Linked DNA regions of Coturnix japonica. Each later gene encodes a partner of the first gene's protein in a complex. Links are inferred from orthologs where the notes say so. Each region holds a gene or a part of one and is shown on either strand. Other genes may lie near its edges.

Region 1 (4,213 bases):
TCCCCATACCCCCCTGCTGGGGGACATGGAGCCTCTGCTCGGCAGCAGAAGGGGCGGCCCGAGGCCGGTGCTCAGGGGGAGGATGAGAAATCTGAATGAGTGGGAAAGTCTTGATACATTGTGATGCTGAACTCAATGATACTGTTTCGTATGTCGTTAGGGACGAAATATGTCACCCCAACACCAGGGCTGAGCGCATCTAAATACCAGCCGTGCCTCCGCACACAGCCAGCTGCTGGCATCACCCCAGTGTGAGCGGCTGGTGTTGGGCACAATTGCAACTGCAGTGTTGTGGAACGGTGCTTTTTATGCTGTAAAACAATAGCTGCTTTTAAAACGTAACTGCCGTGCTCAAGCCTTTGAAGCATGACCTCATTTGCTGGGATGCTCCAAGCAAGTTCAGGCTGCAGCACCGGGAAAATCCATTCCCTGCACCGTGAGCACAGCCAGACCAAACCCACTGCCTTGGGTCAGTGCTGGGCTGGGGCAGCACAGCGCCGACCTCAGCCACTCTCCGACAGCAGCCACCCTCGGTGCACGGGCACACTGCAGGGAGCTCTGTCAGGCTCGGTCCCTGTCTCGGTATGTCAGCTGTCTGGGCAGCCCCGGAGGTCTCTAAGCAGGAGAGTTAATGCCACAGGCATTAGTGCTGGAGGTCAGGTCGCGGTAAAGCACCAAAAGGGAGGTTGTGCCTCAGGAGCATCCCCGCAGACGGCACTGCAAGGGGCCGGGAGGGCTCCCACCCTCCCACCCGCACCTTTCCCTCCCTCCACGCCACCCCAGAGGGAAGAACTCAGCGACGTACTGCCACGTGAAGCGAAAAATAGACTTTATTGTGCCCAGAGCGGCGCCGACCGCACGGCTCAGGGCCGGGGCCGCTGAGGTCCCGCTCTGCGACCCCGCCGCCTCCGCGGGGCATCGCCCCGGAGCGTGGCACCGCGCAGCGTGGGCTGCCCTTCACCTGAAGGGGCGGCCGCGTCCATCGAGCGCAACTGGAAACCCAGCGCGTACCGCGTACCACGTCCCAGTCCCGGCTGGAGGAGCGCCCGGGCGGCTCACTCGGAACGTCTGTACACTAAGTGCCACCTCCATATTCACAACACAGTAACGTACTGCAATCAGTCGCTTAAGTGTAGTTCCCTCGAGAAACAACCTTCCGCTCCGGCTGCGCGCACAGCGGGGAGCTCCCACGAGCGGGGCTAGAGTCCGTCCCCCCGTCCGTCCGTCCGTCCGTCCGTCCATCCTCGGTCCGCCCCCCGGCGTCGCTCAGTTCCGCTGGCAAGTGTGCAGGCGGGAGGCGTCGGGACCGCCGCGGTCGCGCTGCGGGCGGCACGCCATGCCCTCGGCGCAGGGGCAGCGCTGGAAGATCTCGAGGCCGTGGGCTCCTTTCCGGCGGTGCCGGGTACACACCTGCCCCTCGCGCAGGACGGGTTTGCAGATCTTGGACCAGAAGTGGCGGGCGCAGCACAGCCCCGCCGCACAGTCCGACGAGCGCAGGCAGAAGTCGCCCTCCTCACCTGCGGGCGGGAGGTCAGTGCCGAGCTCCGACGGCGCCCGCGGCCGCGCCGCTCCCCGGGGCCGTGCTTACCTTTGGCGTCGGGCGGCCAGGCGGGAGCGGGCGTCCGTCGGGGCAGCGCCTCGGGGCCGGGCTCGTCCAGCTCGGGAGCGCCGGGCGGGGGTTCGGGGGGCGTGCAGAGCCCTGCGGGGCGGGGAGGGGGAGGCGGCGCCGTCAGCCCCCCCGTGTCCACTTCCCACCCCCCATCCCATCCCATCCCATCCCATCCCATCCCATCCCATCCCATCCNCCATCCCATCCCATCCCATCCCATCCCATCCCATCCCATCCCATCCCATCCCATCCCATCCCATCCCCGCCACGCTCGCCCCCCCACCCCGGCCCGGCCGCCCCTCACCGTTGCTGCAGGCCGTGCCCGGGCAGCACATGGCGTCGCGTAGGCAGCGCTTGCGGCGTCTCCGGCACGCGAGGCAGAGCGGGGGGCCACTGCCGCGGGCCGCCCCACCGCAGAATTCGTCGGGGCCGCAGTCCTCGTCCTCTGAGCAAGGGAAAGGCTGCGGGCGGGCAGAGGAGTCAGCGCCGCTTCCCACCGCCCGGTAACCCCCGGCAGACCCCGGGCCGCCCCGCTCCTACCTGCCGGGTGGCGGCCGGCGGCGCCTTGTTGCTGCCGTCGAAGGGCGCGGGGGCGGCGGCGGCGGGGGCGGCGCTGGCGGCCGCCCCCACCTTGATGGCGTTAGAGCTGAGGCCGCCGCCGGCCCCCGCCCGCCCCGCGCAGCTCAGGGCCGCCAGCAGCGCCAGCAGAGCCCGCATCGCCCGTCCGTCCCGACCCGTCCGCCCCGTCCCGTCCGTACTTCAGCGCCGCGCTCCGTGCCCCCGAGCAGCGCTACCTGCCCGCCGCTGCCTCTTTATACCCGGGGGGCTGCCTCCTGCGCCCGCCCTTCGGGGAGGAGGGATGGGATTTCAAAGGGCCCCGGGGGGCTGTGCCGCTGTTCCCCCCCCCCCGAGGGAGGGGATTTCGCAACGGCGGCGGTAGCTCCGCCGCGCTCCCTTCCTGGCGCCAGCGCAGACCCGCAGGAAGGGGCCGCTCCGCACCCCCGGCCCCGCGGAGTTTGGGGGGGCTGGATGAGAGCCCGCCCCGTCGGAGCCCCCCCGTGCACTCGGCTGACCTCGGCCGGGGGGGCTGCGCCGCGGCGGGGGGAGCGGGGCCGGGCCGGGCTGTGCCTTTGATGCGCGGAGATCAAAGGGGGGCGGCTCCCCCCGCCCCTCGCCCTCGGGGCCCCCCGACGGCGCCGTTGCGCCGTTGCGCCCCCTGGCGGCCACGACATGGTACTGCAGCGAGGAGAGCTCCGTTGGCCACACGCGCCCGTAGCGTCGCGCTCCTCACTTCTTTTTATTGTATTTAATTTTTTTAATGGGAGAATGGGCCGCCCCGTTCCGGGAGAATGGGCAGCCCCGGCTCAAATTGACAGTGATGCTTATGGCTTATGGTGGTACCGCCTGAGCAGGTACCGGCGGGGATCAGGCTCATCCCCATCACGTCGCTGCTGAGCTCTGGCATCGTTCCTTCCCACTGGGCCACAAGCTGGTGTCCGGTGCGGCTGCTGACAGCCATTGTGCCCCATTGCCACACTTAAGCCATGTGGCCCCAGTGCATTCTGCCCAGGAGGGACCAGCCCTGTCCCCTGGCAGTGTCAGCTTTTTGCCTTCTCTCCCAGCACTCATCCTCTGTGACAGCAGGGACAGGGACAGCCCCACCTGCGAGCAGCTCTGGGGTAGGTATTGATCACAACTGGCATCAGGTCTCTGTGCCCTACATGCCCTGCACCTGCTCCTAGTAGCAGCGTGGAAAGCACCAGGTGTACCGCTCACCCCTGAAGAGCAAATGTGCTGTAAGGATGCTTACTGCTCTGTGTGGTCACGGAGTAACGTGGGCTGGAGATGCCCATGATGTGTCATGCAGGACCCCCACCCACCCATTGGGATGTTCATGTCCACTGCCTATTGATCACAGCAACCGCATCTCTCTGCAGTGTCACACAACACTGTGCTTGGCTCACTGTCTCCTACTTCAGATCACCACAAAGCAGGGGTAAAATAACCCAGCCGAACAGCAGAACCACCCCCAAGCCGACTCCTGCTGAAGACAGATGTCAACACGCTGCTCAAAAGTAATTATTTTTATTTCAACTCTATAAAGTATACAACAGGCACTCAGCAATTACAGCTGCAGGGAAAATACAGAGCAAAACAAAAGCGGTTAAGTTTATGAAAAAGAAGTTCTTAAATCTACATCAAAAGAGTGCAACTGGTTGACGACCATTGGATGACAGACGTGTTTCTTTTCTGACAAACAAAAAACTCTTGCATGTAGAATCCATTGTAATAAGAAAAAACAGAGAAATATAGAACGTAAAAATAAAGGACCAGTGTCAGAACAGCATGGATCGGACTCAGGATGAGACAAACTCCAAACGACACTTCCCTTTGGCTGCTAACGTCTGGGATCTGCCCTTGTCTCAGCACAGCACCTGCTGGGCTGGTGGGAGAAGTGAGGAGGCTCTGGGCAGCTCCGTGGTGGGCTGCGTCCCCCAGGGGAACATTCGCTTTCATGGGGGCATTTGGTTTCATGACAGAGACTCGGTGGCAAGTCGCATTCAGGTGCTCATCTTTTTATTTGTATCCTTTTTTTTCTGGGCA
Region 2 (5,133 bases), on another chromosome or scaffold:
CACAATAAATTAGCAAAAATGCCCCTTTGAGTATGTATTAGATGACATGGCATATACGAATCCAGTGTGTAAGTATCTTCATTTTTCCCCTGCTTTTTATATACCTCACAACAGCCAAAAGAGATTTCAGCACGTTTTTTACTGTATGGTTATGTACAATGGGAGCTTTCTGTATACAAAGAATTAGGTGTATCATAGTGTGTATTGATGTAACAGAGAAAGCACAGAAACTGTGTTTCGTGGCTGATACATTCAGAGTAGTAAAATGGGTCTCTCCTTTGTAGGTGTTTGAAGGTATCATTACATAGCAGAAGTATGAAGAAGCTGTAAGGGCAAGATGCAATGACAGGGGCTTCAAACTAAAAGAAGGGAGATTGAGGTTGGATGAGAGGAAGCAATTCTTCACTCAGAGGGCAGTGAGACCCTGGCAGTGCTGCCCTGAGCTGTGGGTGCCCCATCCCTGGAGGTGCCTGAGGCCATGGATGGGCCCTGGGCAGCCTGAGCTGGGGGCAGCCAGCACATGGCAGGGGTGGGGCTGGGGGGGTCTCTGTGATCCCCTCCAACCTCGGCCATTCTGTCATTCTCTGATTTGTGTTAGACAAAACAAGTCTAACTTTTCCCTCATCGCTTTCTGTTTGTTTGCTTGGTTCTTTTTTTGCTGTTGGTGTTTGCTTTCTGTTATTTACTTTATAGCTAAGAAATGCTGGCTCTGCTAAAATGCCTCACGACTCAGCGAAGAAACCTTTGCAGAAGTCTAGACTATGGCCTCATTATGTATACCCTTAAGAAATAGCTTTCCTGCCCACATGGAGGTAGAAAAGGAAGAAAAGGAAAGCCACCTGCACTTGTATTCACCATTTTTCAAATAGAGACAGTGAACTCATCCCCTCAGTTCTGTGCTCTGTCAGTAGCTGTGTATTTGCCTCTGTGTATGCTACGTTAACATAGACTCACTGAATGGCTGGAGTTGGAAGGGACCCCTGCAGGCCGTCTGGTCCCACTGTCTGCAGTTCCATCAGTGCTCACAGCTCCGTCTCTTGACCTATCTCCCCCGTTCTATTTAGAGACCATTTCCCCTTGTCCTATCACACAGAACCTGCTGAAGGCTCTGTCCCTTCATTCTTACAGCCCCTTAGACACTGACTCTCTCAGCCTCTCCTCGGAGGGGAGGTGTTCCATCCCTTGCTTCAGTTTTGTGGCCCTCCTCTGCATGTGTCTATGCACTGGAGAAGTCCGTGTGCTCGTCTCTGTGTCTACGTCCGTACTTATGTGTTTGAAGCTGAGTACTTGTGTATGCCTCCGGCTGAGTCCCTGCATCTCCCCGCACACCCTCCGGCCCGCGAAGGGCTGTATAGAGCCATAGCGCAAAGATTACAGCGGTCTTCTCCCCGCCCTCCCCTAAGGGAAGAAAAGATGCTCCGCATCTGCGCGCTCCGTTCTGCTGGCAGGCAGCCCCCGGGACCGCCAGGCTGGCACGGCCTCGGGGCTGCGGGGCTCCGCGGGGAAGGCAGAGGGACACGGGGGGGATGCCGAGAGCTCGGCGCTGCCTGCGGGGCTCTTTGGTTCCGTGACTGATCCGTGCGGGGTTCGCCCCGAGGAGCGCTCCGCGGAGCCCCGTCTGCGGGCGGCACGACCCGAACCCGTCGGTGTCAAACGTAAAAGCGGTTCCTCTCCGCGGTTCGGCGCCGCAGCGGGGAGCAGCAGGTTGGGATGTTGGTTTCTATCCTTTCCTGTCACATGGCTGGTAATAGGATCCCTCATCTGCCACTCGGCACCTCGCTGGGGCGCACTTACAGGACACATGCTGTAGGGCCTCCGCTTTCCGCACATCGCGCTGCTCCCGGCCGCCCGCGACCACCTCCGCTCCGGAACGCGGTGCGGCCCGGCGGCCCCGGCCCATGGAGCCGCCCCCTCTCGCCGCCGTCGTGGCCATATCGGGACTGGCGCTGAGCTGCTGCCGAGAGCCCGGTCTGTCCGGTGAGTGAGTGAGTGAGTGACACCCGGCGGGGACGCGGGGGGAGCCGGGCTGAGCGGACGGAGCCGCTCGCGGATCTTCTGGAGGGGATTGAGAGGCGACAGAGCCGCAGTTTGTACCCGAGCTCAGCGGACCCGAGGCTGGCACCGAGCTCTGCCGCCCGGCAGCACCGAGCTCTGCTGCGATCAGCCAGCCCGGGGCAGCGCGCTGGAGCTCGATGATCTTTATGGTCCCCTCCAGCCGAAGTCGTTCTGTGATTCTGTGGTCGGGTTCGCGATAACATCCCTTCCTTATCGCCAGCTCCGTGCGCGGTGCCAGGTCCGGAGCGGCTGATCAGGACGGTCCGAGATACACGGTCCTTCTGGATGTGCTCAATAGCTGAATCTTCCTTATTCTGCTCGATACAGGATTTGCACTGCTTCCTCCAGCTATGAATAGACGCTTATCTTCACATTATGTAGATACACCTAGAATCATAGAATGGTTGGAATTGGAAGGGACCCCCAAAGACCATCTGTTCCCACTGCCTGCAGTGCTCAGGGACACCCACAGCTCCATCAGTGCTCACAGCCCCGTCCCCTGACCGTGACTGTCTGCAGGGATAGGGAACCACCACCTCTCTGGGCACCCTGTGCCTCACTGCCCTCAGTGTGAACAACTTATTTATACCCAACCTAAACTTCCCCTCTTTTAGTTTGAAACCATTTCCCCACATCCTATCAATCCTACCATGTCTGATTATCAGACCCAGTACCATCAGGCTGTGTTTGATGCACTCTTGGTCATCTTTTCTTTATTGAAGAGTGTAATCTTTTTTCCAAACACAACTGTAGACGGAACACGCTGTGTAAGCAGCCAAGTTTCACAGCAGCTGCATGTGAGCATGTGGAGGATATATCCCTATAGGAGTGTTTGGTTCCTAGGCAGTGTAGAGACCTCTGTGCACATCCATGCTCTGACTGCATACACCCACAGCCACAATAACCCAATATTACAGTGAGTAAATATGTAGCAAAGATGATGGATCTAGGAAGCACAGCCACCTACCTTCCAGTCTGTATTAATTCAGTCACTGAGATCTGCAGTACTCAAAGCTCAGTCATACCATATTTCTCAGGAATTGAGGGGGGGAGTGGTGAATAGGTTCCCTATTGAAAGAATACATTGCCTAATTAAAGGGTTTTCTGAATTTGGTGCTTTTTGTGTTACAAAGAAACTGAGAAGTCTCTGAAATGTCACTTTCATTGAAGAAATGTTTTATATACGCAGTGCAATAGGCTGTCTTTTCTAGTTTCTATACTTATAGCCTTTTAATTTCCCACTCAGAAGTGTGTTTGATTTCCCCGCTTCCTTTCTCTGTTATCTTTCTGTTCAGCAGTAGTGGATCTCTATGCCTGTGGTTTCCTTCCTTATCGCTGTTGTTTCACCCATCTCTTTGTGTAAAGCAGCTCTGCTTTGTGTTCCTTCAGCAGCCATCATGCAAATCATCCAGCAAGCAGTTCTAAGCAGGCCGAGATAGTCACCCTAGGCACTTTGGGAGATCGTGCTCATACATGCACAGAGCCTAACTCAAAATCCGGAGTTATGAATGGATTTTGGTAGGGTGGAGCCAACGGAGTGGGAAGGAGGCTGGGATTACACGCTGCCAGCTGCTCATTTTGTCATATCACACCACAGCGGTTGTGCAATTGAGCACTCCCTCCATCTGCACAGTGGCTGAGGCCCACGCTGGTAAAATTTCCGGAGGGATTCGGTCTGCCACACTTGACAGTGGAACAACAGATTTAAAAGTTCACAAAGAAAACAAATGGGTGTATTAAGGAGCAGAAATTCCTCTGGGGCTACATCATGCATTCTTAGTTCCAGTGATAAAGAATCCCAGGACAAGTGTGGTGGTGGAACTGTACCTCTGTCTGCTCCCAGGCTGTGCCAATGGATGCTGAGGATGAGGTTTGACTCAGTGTCATTGGGGCCGCTCTATGTTCCGGACCAACATGAAATGTGACTGTTCTGGAGCAGCTGAGGACCTGTAAAGATGATGTGTGTGTGCCTGTGTGGGATGAGGGATTTTTAAGCTACATACAGAATGTGTCTATACTGCATAGGGGAAACCTTCTGCTCCAGTGCCCTCATGGCATCACAGCAGCCTTTCACTGGCCTTATCCTCCCCAAAATCATTTATTTTCCATCATAACATATTACGGAATAAGGTTTTTTTCCTGACCAATCCTATGAAAATACGCAAATGAACATTTGGTTCAATCAATAAAACTGCATCTTCAAAGAAAACCATTGCGCTACTAAAAATATTTTTAATAATGACCACAGAAGCCATATTTGTCTCTTTGATCTCCTGGAGCTTCTTCTGGTTTTAATCAGCATTCCCACATGCAGAATTGTGGCAGCCTATGATAATAGAATCTCTATTCGCTTATCCATAGGGAAACAAAAACGCTCTCATCTGAGGAAGGTAATTGGGTGCTGTGCCCCTTCCATCCGTGGGCCTCCGTCGCTGCTGGGGTGTCTTGGCATCAGTTAAGTGGTTTCTGTCCTTTCCTCTGTGCCTTACTCTCTCATTGAAGTGTTTCTGCTGTCTAATTATACCCTTTCAATCAAATTAGAGACTGCAGCATCTGGTTAGTGCCTGTAACTGTTGCCATCTGCACCTAGATACAGGGCTTGCGTTTAAGGAGGAGTGCTGCGATTACAGGCTGCAGCAAAGGCAAGGAGAGTAGTTTTGGTAGAATGGAAATCACCTGAAGCTCTTCTTAAAGCACTATTAAAATGTGTGCACCAAGCAGCTGAGACACAGTCCTTATTGGACTCAGCCCACGCTCTTATCCACACACATTTTGGGAGCCTTTCCTTATTGCTTCAGCCTTACAGAACATTTAAAGTTCTGGCTGTTGTGCTCCTGCCGCCAAACATCATATTTCAATGTCAGCCGTTTTCATTTAGCTTTGTTGATTCTTTTATCTGTATATCCTTAAAAGAAAATGCTGCTTCTTGTGGGGATGTTGCTGGTCAGATCTCTCCTGTTCTCCCTACCCAGAGCAAACAAATAGATAAGCAACTTCATCATTATTATTTTTGTTCTGTGAAATAGGAGTGAGTTTGTTACTCTGAATTTTCAGTCTCCCACAAAGCTGTGTATGCAC

Evidence for each region. Proteins that work in one complex are often made in the same cells at the same time.
Region 2: the proteins of DKK1 (region 1) and KREMEN1 are in contact, whole or in part, in a crystal structure (PDB 5FWW), measured with the Homo sapiens proteins. The link is inferred for Coturnix japonica from reciprocal best matches to the Homo sapiens genes DKK1 and KREMEN1. Residues at the interface, in NP_036374.1 of Homo sapiens: Cys189, Leu190, Arg191, Ser192, Ser193, Cys201, Arg203, Trp206, Ser207, Lys208, Lys222, His223, Arg224, Arg225, Lys226, Gly227, His229, Gly230, Leu231, His261; in XP_011528731.1 of Homo sapiens: Pro67, Asn88, Asp90, Asp92, Ser94, Trp96, Gly105, Val106, Tyr107, Trp108, Tyr110, Asp127, His128, Gly129, Pro132, Thr140, Asn142, Glu164, Ser165, Tyr167, Ala168, Phe170, Asn189, Val191, Phe193, His196, Asp203, Gly204.

The regions. Positions count from the first base shown.
Region 1 is NC_029521.1:5,371,793-5,376,005, forward strand, and holds DKK1 (dickkopf-related protein 1), read right to left. Parts: upstream 2,407-4,213; 5' UTR 2,327-2,406; coding exon 2,150-2,326; intron 2,071-2,149; coding exon 1,914-2,070; intron 1,700-1,913; coding exon 1,589-1,699; intron 1,518-1,588; coding exon 1,267-1,517; 3' UTR 813-1,266; downstream 1-812. UniProt on the Homo sapiens protein: Antagonizes canonical Wnt signaling by inhibiting LRP5/6 interaction with Wnt and by forming a ternary complex with the transmembrane protein KREMEN that promotes internalization of LRP5/6.
Region 2 is NC_029530.1:6,891,805-6,896,937, reverse strand, and holds the start of KREMEN1 (kremen protein 1), read left to right. Parts: upstream 1-1,773; 5' UTR 1,774-1,898; coding exon 1,899-1,977; intron 1,978-5,133. UniProt on the Homo sapiens protein: Receptor for Dickkopf proteins. Cooperates with DKK1/2 to inhibit Wnt/beta-catenin signaling by promoting the endocytosis of Wnt receptors LRP5 and LRP6.